Cricetulus griseus: one gene and its partners. The protein of the gene in region 3 interacts with the protein of the main gene of each other region in a pairwise test. Links are inferred from orthologs where the notes say so. Each region holds a gene or a part of one and is shown on either strand. Other genes may lie near its edges. The genes, in order: Myf5, myoblast determination protein 1 and Id1.

Region 1 (3,710 bases), on a different chromosome or scaffold from region 3:
GGATCTCTGTGCCGGCAGCTGGGACGCATCTGTAACGGTGTTAGCTGGCCTGAAAGCAGAAAATTAGCGACCCAAAGCCTGGCTGGCTGTTTAGTCTGTAGAAGTGATAGGGCGGAGCAGAAAGCTCTGGAGAAAGTACACTCCATTCCACACTGGGAAGGGAGTTTTCTGTGAGAAACTGGACTTCTGCTCATCCACAGGCGTGGGAATTGCCCGGTGCAGGTACTAGACTAGTGCAGGCACAGAGAGAAAGGCAACAGACAAGTGTGTGAGGAAGGAAGAAAGGAAGAAAGCTAGGAGGGGTGGGATGCTGGCGGATCACCTGGTCCACCTGAAGACATTTCCTTTTTAAGCAGAAGAAAATAATATGATGTCTGACAGAGCCAGGTCTGAAAAGGAAGCCCTGGAGAATGTCGAACCCATGGAATGACCAACTCATGCTAACTTTTCTCCTTGAGTCTTTACCAAACAGATTTTGAAACAGGACATTCTAGGTTCTCTCCAGAAATGAAAATGTCACTTCATTTTTTAAAACAACAATTATAAGGGTACAAACTGACAAAAATCTCTTTAGGTAAAGAAAATGAGATACAAGCTCTCCCCCACACCCACTCCCCAGAATAAATCAGTGACTCCTCCAGCCTCTAGGTTTCCTTTGGCCTCAGATGGAAATACAGAATTTAATGCCTTATTACGATGCTGCTGCTGATTGCGTTAAAGTACGATCGATTTCAAGACACCCGCCTCCTTAAGTGATCCCCAGGTTTGGAATAGCCAGAAGGCCACTGAGCAGGCTGGGCTGTAGTAAAAATCATTTGTGTCGAAGTAGCCAGTAAACAGCAAATTGTCTTTAGAAGAAAGGCAGAGAGAGGTTTGCCTAGCCAACCCCTGTGGGGGTTGTGGGGGGATATGCTAATAATGCCCAGCTACAGGGACCAGCCTCCCTTCCCATCCCCCAAGAACATATAAAGAGCCCCAACCTCAGGCACCAACCCACCCTGACCAACAGGCGTCTGTCCTTGTTAATTACAGAGAAACAATCCCAAACGCGGAACTCTGCCTGGGATTTGCTGGCCTGCAGCAACCAGGGACACCCGTTTCTCCTGCTTTGCTGAATCCAGGTGTCCCACCTGCCTCTCTGAAGCATGGACATGATGGATGGCTGCCAGTTCTCACCTTCTGAATACTTCTACGAGAGCTCCTGCATCCCCTCCCCTGAGGGTGAGTTTGGGGACCAGTTTGAACCAAGAGTGACTGCCTTCGGAGGGCACAAAGCTGAGCTGCAGGGCTCCGATGATGATGAGCACGTGCGAGCACCTAGTGGCCACCACCAGGCTGGCCACTGCCTCATGTGGGCCTGCAAAGCCTGCAAGAGGAAGTCCACCACAATGGACCGACGCAAGGCCGCCACCATGCGCGAGCGCAGACGCCTAAAGAAGGTCAACCAAGCTTTCGAAACGCTCAAGAGGTGCACCACGAGCAACCCCAACCAGAGGCTCCCCAAAGTGGAGATCCTTAGGAATGCCATCCGCTACATCGAGAGCCTGCAGGAGCTACTGAGGGAACAGGTGGAGAACTATTACAGCCTGCCCGGACAGAGCTGCTCAGAGCCCACCAGCCCCACCTCCAACTGCTCTGATGGCATGGTAAGCCACAACTCCAAGACCCACTCTCTCCTGCCCTAGTTTATGTGAAAAGCCCTCCTCGTACCTCATCTAAACCAGGTACAGTGGAACCGTTGATTTCAGAGATGTGTTCACAGTAAGATGCAAAGAAAAACTGTTACACAAGATTTTCCTTTGATTTCCCAGCTGGGTGTATATGCATGTACATGGGTAGTAAAAAGGTTGTCATGTACCCCAGGTTAATTTAAATGATTAAGTGATTTTGCTGTTGTTTCCAAAATATATCAGTGTGGACCCTGACATACAGCTAATCCCAAGTTTATAACTCAGGGAAGAATTAGAATTCCTAGCATGGTCCCGATCCCTGCTCTGAGGCCAAGCTGGAAAGAAATGTTAGTACATTTTCTTTCCAAAGGTATCTGGTCCAGTGTTCCAGATTTTAACGCCGTTTTGCCCTGGGAAAGTGCTCTCTCCCACAATTAGTCCGGCTTCCTTCTATTGCAATCCATTTTGCATGGTTATAACACAGTGCACACTGCTGCAGGATTCCATCGTCTTCCCTCTTCTTCCAGCATAGAGCCTGACCTTGGTGCCCTGGTGATTTGGAGGCAGCAGCCCCTTCCTATTTCAGTGTTGTAGCCGGGGGGTGGGGACGGGGGAACGACTAGGAGCAGTCAGTTTACCGAGCTGGGGTCCGGTACTATATCACCCCAGGTCTGGACGTCTTTTGCCAAAGGCTTGACAATACAATTCTGTGTGTTGCGTGTTACAGCCTGAATGTAACAGTCCTGTCTGGTCCCGAAAGAACAGCAGCTTTGACAATGTCTACTGTCCTGAAGTGTCGAACGGTAAGAACTGATGACTTCCGACACATTTAAAGATCTTTTCAGTCTCGCAATTCAGCCTGTCTTCGCAGTGTCTGAACTTCCAAGTAGTACTGGGAGGAATGGAAGTGATGGCTGTCATGGGAAGGCGTTGACAGAATAAACACATTTTCTGCTCCAGATTACCCTAAGAGACAAACAGATAGACCACATGCATGCCCGAATGCACACACACACACACACACACACACACACACACACACACACACACACACACACACACTTCTTCTTCTTCTTCTTCTTCTTCTTCTTCTTCTTCTTCTTCTTCTTCTTCTTCTTCTTCTTCTTCTTCTTCTTCTTCTTCTTCTTTCTTCTTCTTCTTCTTCCCTCCACACCTCCACCCTCAGGAGTTGCTAGATATTTGCTGCAAATTCTTACATCAGGCTCTGTGATCACCTGACCCATGCTGTCAAAGGTGCTGACCTACAGTTTAAAGGGCAGCATAAGCAAGCCTGTCTGTGTGGGGATAACATTTTTTTCAAACCACTTTTCTCCTTGTACTGTTAGCCTGTGCTGCAGATAAAAGCTCCTTATCCAGCTTGGATTGTTTGTCCAGCATAGTGGATCGGATCACGACGGCAGAGAGAACCGAGCTGTCTCTTCAGGACACAGCATCTCTCTCTCCAGCTGCCAGCAGCAATTCACAGCCTGCAACCCCAGGAGCCTCCAGTTCCAGACTTATCTATCATGTATTATGAACTAACACACGGGAGGAATGATGCCCCCACGTGTCCGAAGTGATGGCAAATTGTGGATAATATGTGCTTTTCAGTTGTAAATATCATCTTGACACTTTATAAGAAAATGTATTTAACTGAAAGTCATATTTGCAATGATGACTTCTCCTCTGCCCATTCTTTGTCTTCATTTGTCTTTGTCTTCATTTTCAGCTTCCCTTTGTTTTAGATTCACGGTTCCAAAAATATTTTTCTGGTGGTGGCAATTAATTGACAGTTGCTTATAGTAATTCTTAATTTATACATCTATAATGTAAATATTGCTCATCAAAATAACTTTCATATTTAGATCTCTATTTTTGTCTTCAAAAACATTTTAATAGCTTGGAATCCATTACAGGGAATTCAAAATATATTTAACTTTTGCTTTTCTCTTTAATCTTTTGTTTATATTACATCAAATGAAAATATAACAGTGCTGTCAATGGTATATATTTTCATCTTTTCTTGTAAGAAATTCTTCT
Region 2 (3,592 bases), about 130 Mb from region 3:
TCTCTTGCCAGCATAGCCGTGCACCTCCCCTGACATTTCCACACTCCCCTCCCTTTAGATTTTCAACCACGACCACAGTTACTCCTGGATACTGTCATTATCCCTGGATATGAAGTGGAAACAGACTTGGGAAGAGGTCACCTCCACAAAGTTATGCAAACTGCACTGTTGGTGAGGTCCTCAGGCCAGGTCCTGGCCATCATGACACTTAAGAAAGGCACTTCCTGGGGCTCGACTCAGAACAAGAGGACACAAAATTGCAGCAAACTGGCTTTCGTCTTAGCTGTAGAAACAGATCAACCCAGACCCCTGTGGCTCTCTAGATATCCACAGAAGGAATCCAGCTGGTTAAGTTGAGTGGAGCCTCTCTCCCTTCCTTCTTCGCTCGTTTCCTCCCTCCGTCCACCCTGATTTTGAGTAGAATGGCTTGAAGTTTTAATGCTGATCTCCCAACTACCGCAGAGACTGAACCGGGTTCCTAAGCTTCCTGAGGAAGATGGGCAAGACCAGGCGCTCTCTGGGCGGTGTCCAGATCCGCAATCAGCCAAATATCACTGCCACCAAGTCATTTGTCTCAGGCTTGCCCACTTAAACCTTTGGAGTCTCACTGTCTCTTGCTCACGTCGTCTTCGGCTCAACTTCTAAGGATGTGTCACCATTTCGCGGCTTCTTCTCTGGAGGTTCTTTGCCCTGTTGCCTTGTGACTCTCTACAAATCTCCCGCAATCTGATTTCTAATTCCTATTCTGTGCCTGGTTTCCCCACAAATCAGGAGACAGTGAGGTCCAAGGTCAGCGCTGTGGCTTCGCGGAGGCGCACTGGAGAGGCTTGGGCAGGCTGCATCTGGTAACCAAGTGCAAAGGAGGGCGGAGGGTGTTTGCCCGCCAGTGTCTGCCCTCCTCCCTGCCCCACCGCAGAGCCGCGGGAGGGGGCACTCCCTGGCCCCAGTGGCTACCCTGGGGACCCCACGCTCCGCCCTGCTGCACTCCTATTGGTTTAGGACACCCCCGCCCCCAGCCTCCCTTTCCAGCTCCCGGGCTTTTTAGGCTACCCTGGATAAATAGTCCTGGACGCCTGGCGCGAAGCTTGGGGCGAGGAAGTCCCAGGACGATTGCTTTCTTCGCCACAACTCCGACAGACCAGGGAGGGGAGGTAGAGGACAGCCTGTGTGCAGTCCAATCCTCAGCACTTTGTCATTGTACTGTCGGAGTTCAGGAGTGGCAGAAAGTGACTCTTGAGACTTGAGTTGAGCTAGAGGCAGGACCGAGAAGCCCAGGAGCTGGGATATGGAGTTATTGTCGCCGCCACTCCGGGACGTAGACTTGACAGGCCCCGACGGCTCTCTCTGCTCCTTTGCCACAGCCGACGACTTCTATGATGACCCGTGTTTCGACTCACCGGACCTGCGCTTTTTCGAGGACCTGGACCCGCGCCTGGTGCACGTGGGGACCCTCCTGAAACCGGAGGAGCACACACACTTCCCTACCACGGTGCACCCAGGCTCAGGTGCTCGCGAGGATGAGCATGTGCGCGCACCCAGTGGGCACCACCAGGCTGGTCGCTGCTTGCTGTGGGCCTGCAAAGCATGCAAGCGCAAGACCACCAACGCTGATCGCCGCAAGGCCGCCACCATGCGCGAGCGGCGCCGCCTGAGCAAAGTGAACGAGGCCTTCGAGACGCTCAAACGCTGCACGTCCAGCAACCCGAACCAACGGCTGCCCAAGGTGGAGATCCTGCGCAATGCCATCCGCTACATTGAAGGCCTGCAGGCTCTGCTGCGCGACCAGGACGCAGCACCCCCTGGCGCGGCTGCCTTCTACTCGCCCGGCCCGCTGCCCCCAGGCCGAGGCAGTGAGCACTACAGCGGCGACTCAGACGCTTCCAGCCCACGCTCCAACTGCTCAGATGGCATGGTAAGGCCGGGTCTCAGAAGAAGGCCAAGTGCAGGTGGCACCTGGGGAATCTGGAATGCTTTTGAGTCCGTTAGGGTTGGGGAAGTTCTTTAGACCCAGGTGTGCCTGGCATGTGACTGGGGTCTCTGGAGACCCTGGGCATCTGTGATTTGCCTAGTGGGGGTGGCATCAAAATACTGCTATGCAGACCACAGGACATACGTTTTCTCCCCAAATCCGTATCACCCAAATGTAGATTTGTTGTTGTTGTTCCTGGGTCACCATCCAGTCTCAGTTTGGCCCTGCATGCGATATATTTCAATGTTTGCTGGCTCCTACTTCCTAACTAGGGCTGACCCAGTCCTGGAACGCCCCCAGCTGAGACTAGGGGAGTGAGGGAGGGGCGGTGACAAGGAGCAGTGCTTGAGACGCCCCGAGGATCTGACTCCATCATTCTTGCTATTCGCAGATGGATTACACTGGCCCCCCGAGAGGCCCCCGGGGGCAGAATGGCTACGACGCCACCTACTACAGCGAGGCCTCCAGCGGTGGTGCGTATTCTCAGCTGTTCCCAGCTAGCAGCTGGGAATTGCCTTCCATGTCCCCCTTGAAGCTGTCCTTGCTCCCCAGGCTCAGTACCCCCCTCCCTGCCTCCATCACAAACACACTTGTATCTTGGGACTACGAAGGGGGCTGGTTAGGGGTTAAACAGTGTGCACCTTCCTCTTCTTTCTCCGTTCAGTCTGGCAAGTCCTCAGTTTCTCTTCTGCTCCAAAGCTCTGTGTTCTGATGGAGTGGGGAGAGAGTGTAAGAGACTTGAAGAGACTCAAGCTTGGAATACTAACCTTCCCCTCCCCCTATAGAGTCCAGGCCAAGGAAGAGTGCAGCCGTGTCGAGCCTCGACTGCCTATCCAGCATCGTGGAGCGCATCTCCACGGACAGCCCCGCTGCTCCTGCTCTGCTGCTGGCAGATGCATCTCCAGAATCTCCTCCAGGTCCTCCAGAAGGTGCATCCCCAAGCGACACAGAACAGGGGGCCCAGACCCCGTCGTCCCCTGATGCCTCCCTGCAGTGCCCTGTAGTCGCGAACGCCAATCCGACCTATCAGATGCTTTGAGAGGTCAGCTGCTGTAGGAGAGGGCATACCGCCTACACGCCTCGGGGGAGTGGGGGGTGGGAGGTCCTTCACACCCCCAAAAATGAAGCTTAAATGACACTCCTCCCAACTGTCCTTTCAAAGCCACACATCCAGAGGCTGGAAAAGGGGGAGCAGAAATCTGTCCCCACAGCGGTCCCCAAGGAAAGGACGCAGTCCATTTGTTGTCGTTGTTTTATTTTATTTTTTTCATGTGACTCACAAAAGACAGCCACTTGCTGCCCCTAACCGCCAGGGTTTCTTCCTTTCTCGCAGCTCCTCGAGCAGGGCTGAGCCCGGTACACCTAGGCCCTGCTCTCCAGGTCCCTGTTGTTTGTGGAGACATGATCCCCATTTTCCGGAGGCCCCCTAATATATGCTCTTTCCCACAGCCTGCGGGAAAGCCGCTCCAGTCCCGTGTGTAACAGGTGTAACCATACCCCACCTTCCCCTGTCCCAAGCGCGGTTCAGGACCACTTATTTTTTTTATATAAGACTTTTTGTAATCTATTCGTGTAAATAAGAGTTGCTTGGCCAGAGCCAGAGCCCCCTGGGCTGTATTTATC
Region 3 (3,223 bases):
TCTCAGACTCCCCTCCATCTTAAAGGGAGACATCCCCCCTGCCCCCCAAAAGGAAGACGTTTTCAGTATCGCTCCCAGTTCAATGGACCTACGTCCTGGTCCTAGGAACTTCACGTTCATTTTCTGGAAACTGAGTCTCGGAGACCAGAAGAAAAGAGGGCATGCTTTAAAATCTGTCTCAGAACATGACATGACAGAGCACACCTGTAATCTCAGTGTAGAAATCCAACTCATCTGGGGAGGGGCCTCGGTCGAGAGGGGTTTGGGGTGGAAGGGTGTGAGAAAACCACCAGAGCTGTGGGGCTGGGTGGAGGAGACTCAGCAGGTGTGGGGCGGGGAGGTAAGTTGACCCTTGGTCAGCGACCGCGCCCACAAGGAACGCATTCCCAGGCCTCCCGCCCAAGGTCTGCAGGTGACAGGCTCATGGGAGGGGGAAGAAGCGGAGAATGCTCCAGCCCAGTTTGCCGTCTCCATGACGACCGCCCGCGCGGCGCCAGCTTGACAGCCCGTCCGGGTTTTATGAATGGGTGACGTCACGGGCCTGGCGTCTAACGGTCTGAGCTGCTTGTTCAGACGCTGACACAGACCAGCCCGGGAAAGGAAAGGGAGGGGGCCATCTCCGCAGCTGCTGCTCTGTGGGAGGGAGAGCTTGCTCCGAGGGCTTCAAGAAAAAAAAAGAAAAAAAAAAAACTAGCAAAAAGAGAGAAAAAATTTTAAAAATCACCAGCTGCTGCAGATTTGGAACCTTTCTGCAAGAGGCTGCAAATCCAGGGTAGAATTGGGGGCTGTAGTCTCACTCCACAGCGACCCTTCTATCTAGTACAGGTCTGACTCTGTCCTCCACTTTAAAGATGTTCCTGGTATCGTTCCCAGTGGACTTAGGTCCTGGTCCTAGGGATTTTACAGTTCATTTTCTGGAAATTGAGATCAGCCCCGGAGATCAGACTAAGCTAGGGCTCTTAATATGATGTGGCGGGGCACACCTGTAATCTCAGCCTGGGAGGTGGAGCAATGAGCATCATAGCAAATTCTGAGTCCAGCCTGGGTTACCTGAGATTAAGTTTCAAGACGAACAAAACCAACCAAACAAACAAAACCCTCATAGGTAAATAAATACAAAAATAAAATTCAACTTTGATAAATGGAGATCATAATCCAATCTTCCGATTGCATCTGGAAACCCTGGGCTAGTCCTTAGCTACTGACCTCCCCAGAGCCAGCCATTTCTCCGTTTGTTTATCTCATCTGCAAAATGGACCTGGAGAAGCGAGAAAAAGACCACGAGATTCCTGGGGTCTTTTTGTTATCTGCAAAATTGGCTTAGCCGTTCTGCCCAGGGCCTCCCATCCTTTCTGTTCTTAAGCCCACCAACCACCTTTCCATAAGCCTAAGGGTGCGCCGAGCTGGGACCCGAGGGCGCGCTAGACCACGCCTCCAGACAAACCATTGGTTGCTTTTGAACGTCCTGAACCCGCCCTGGGTCCGCCCTTATAAAAGACTGGCTCCAGCGCGAGCCCTCTCATTGTACAACCTTCCGGCAACTTCTGCGCGCTCTCCACCTACGCCCCCTTCGTAGGCTCCTCCGCGACTCTCCGCCTGTCCTCAAGATAATGAAGGTCGCCAGTGGTAGCACCGCGGCCACCGCGGGCCCCAGCTGCTCGCTGAAGGCGGGCAGGACGGCGGGCGGCGCGGGCGAGGTTGTGCTTGGCCTGTCCGAGCAGAGCGTAGCCATCTCGCGCTGCGCCGGGACGCGCCTTCCCGCCCTGCTGGACGAGCAGCAGGTGAACGTCCTGCTCTACGACATGAACGGCTGCTACTCCCGCCTCAAGGAACTGGTGCCCACCTTGCCTCAGAACCGCAAAGTGAGCAAGGTGGAGATCCTGCAGCACGTTATCGACTACATCAGGGACCTGCAGCTGGAGCTGAACTCGGAATCCGAAGTCGGGACAGCTGGAGGCCGGGGGCTGCCGGTTCGGGCTCCGCTCAGCACCCTGAATGGCGAGATCAGTGCCTTGGCGGCCGAGGTGAGGTCCGAGTCGAAACATTACATTATTCTCCTGTGCATAGGGAAACTGAGGCCATGGGGAGGGGTTAGCAGTATGTCTGCCTTACTTTTCGGGCGCATGGCTATTTAGGGACGCCTAATTGGGGGAGAAAAAAAACTGGCTTCTTCACCGTGGCCCTTAAGAGTGCAGAAGTGGGAACGCCTCTCCCCTTCTTGCCTTTCCATCCTGTCTCATTCCTTATCTCGCTCTGGTGTTCACAGGCAGCATGCGTTCCAGCCGACGATCGCATCTTGTGTCGCTGAAGCGGCGCACTGAGGACCAGATGGACTCCAGCCCTTCAGGAGGCAAGAGGAATAAAGTGCTCGCGGTTCCCCGGGAGAGCCCGGGGAAAGACTCTTGTCGCGGCCACCTTGGATCTGGTCACGGGGCTCAGAGGCTTGACCAGCAGAGGCTCGCCCTCTCCACCTTTCAGCCCCCCAGAGACTTGGGGAGGGGGTAGTTAACCAACCCCGTATGTTTCTATTTTTTCGAAAAGCAGACATTTTTTTTAAATGGTCACATTTCGTGCTTCTCAGATTTCTGAGGAAATGTTTCGTATTGTATATTACAATGATCACTGGCTAAGAATATTGTTTTACAATAGTTTTATGGGGGTGGGTTTTTTGTTGTTATTAAACAAATACTTTATATACGTTGTAGTGACTTCTTGGATGGGGGAGGGGTCTGTGGGCAGGAGTGACCTCTGACCATTTTCACAGCTGGTGTTGAGAAGCTAGGAATTGGAGGGGCACATCTGGACTGTCATTCTTTCCGACCTGAATGAGTGTTTCCGGTGTCTTTAATGTCTATTCTTTTCCTTCATCCCTGGCCATTTCCCTGTTCCCTGGTGTCATAAAATTAAATCCTCTAGACCTCTAGTAGGGCTTCTCTCAAAGTGGTGGCTGGGCCATCTGGATCACCCAGGGGGAGGAGGTTGTTAAAATGCAGATGGACCTGCTGGGTTGGCCTGCTCTGGGCTGGGGAATATTCATGCCATTCAAGTTGGAAAAACAGGTCACTGGACCATTCGATTCCTTGCCAAGGGCAGGGGTGTGTGTCTGTGTTGTGTGATGAGACCTTAGGCAAAGGAGCCTGCATAGGGTCAGATCTTGCCTGAAGCAGGACTTGTGTGGCCCCCCTTCCCCGCTGAGCCACCTTTTTCTGGATGCCAGCAGGCT

Evidence for each region.
Region 1: the proteins of Id1 (region 3) and Myf5 interact in binary tests that used the Homo sapiens proteins (3 or more experiments, as listed by UniProt). The link is inferred for Cricetulus griseus from reciprocal best matches to the Homo sapiens genes ID1 and MYF5.
Region 2: the proteins of Id1 (region 3) and myoblast determination protein 1 interact in a two-hybrid assay, tested with the Homo sapiens proteins (5 studies listed by BioGRID). The link is inferred for Cricetulus griseus from reciprocal best matches to the Homo sapiens genes ID1 and MYOD1.

The regions. Positions count from the first base shown.
Region 1 is NW_023276806.1:147,625,904-147,629,613, forward strand, and holds Myf5 (myogenic factor 5), read left to right. Parts: upstream 1-1,145; coding exon 1,146-1,646; intron 1,647-2,397; coding exon 2,398-2,473; intron 2,474-3,016; coding exon 3,017-3,207; downstream 3,208-3,710.
Region 2 is NC_048599.1:155,322,113-155,325,704, forward strand, and holds myoblast determination protein 1, read left to right. Parts: upstream 1-1,285; coding exon 1,286-1,912; intron 1,913-2,360; coding exon 2,361-2,439; intron 2,440-2,754; coding exon 2,755-3,008; downstream 3,009-3,592. UniProt on the Homo sapiens protein: Acts as a transcriptional activator that promotes transcription of muscle-specific target genes and plays a role in muscle differentiation. Together with MYF5 and MYOG, co-occupies muscle-specific gene promoter core region during myogenesis.
Region 3 is NC_048599.1:27,271,203-27,274,425, reverse strand, and holds Id1 (DNA-binding protein inhibitor ID-1), read left to right. Parts: upstream 1-1,516; 5' UTR 1,517-1,610; coding exon 1,611-2,029; intron 2,030-2,266; coding exon 2,267-2,321; 3' UTR 2,322-2,697; downstream 2,698-3,223. UniProt on the Homo sapiens protein: Transcriptional regulator (lacking a basic DNA binding domain) which negatively regulates the basic helix-loop-helix (bHLH) transcription factors by forming heterodimers and inhibiting their DNA binding and transcriptional activity.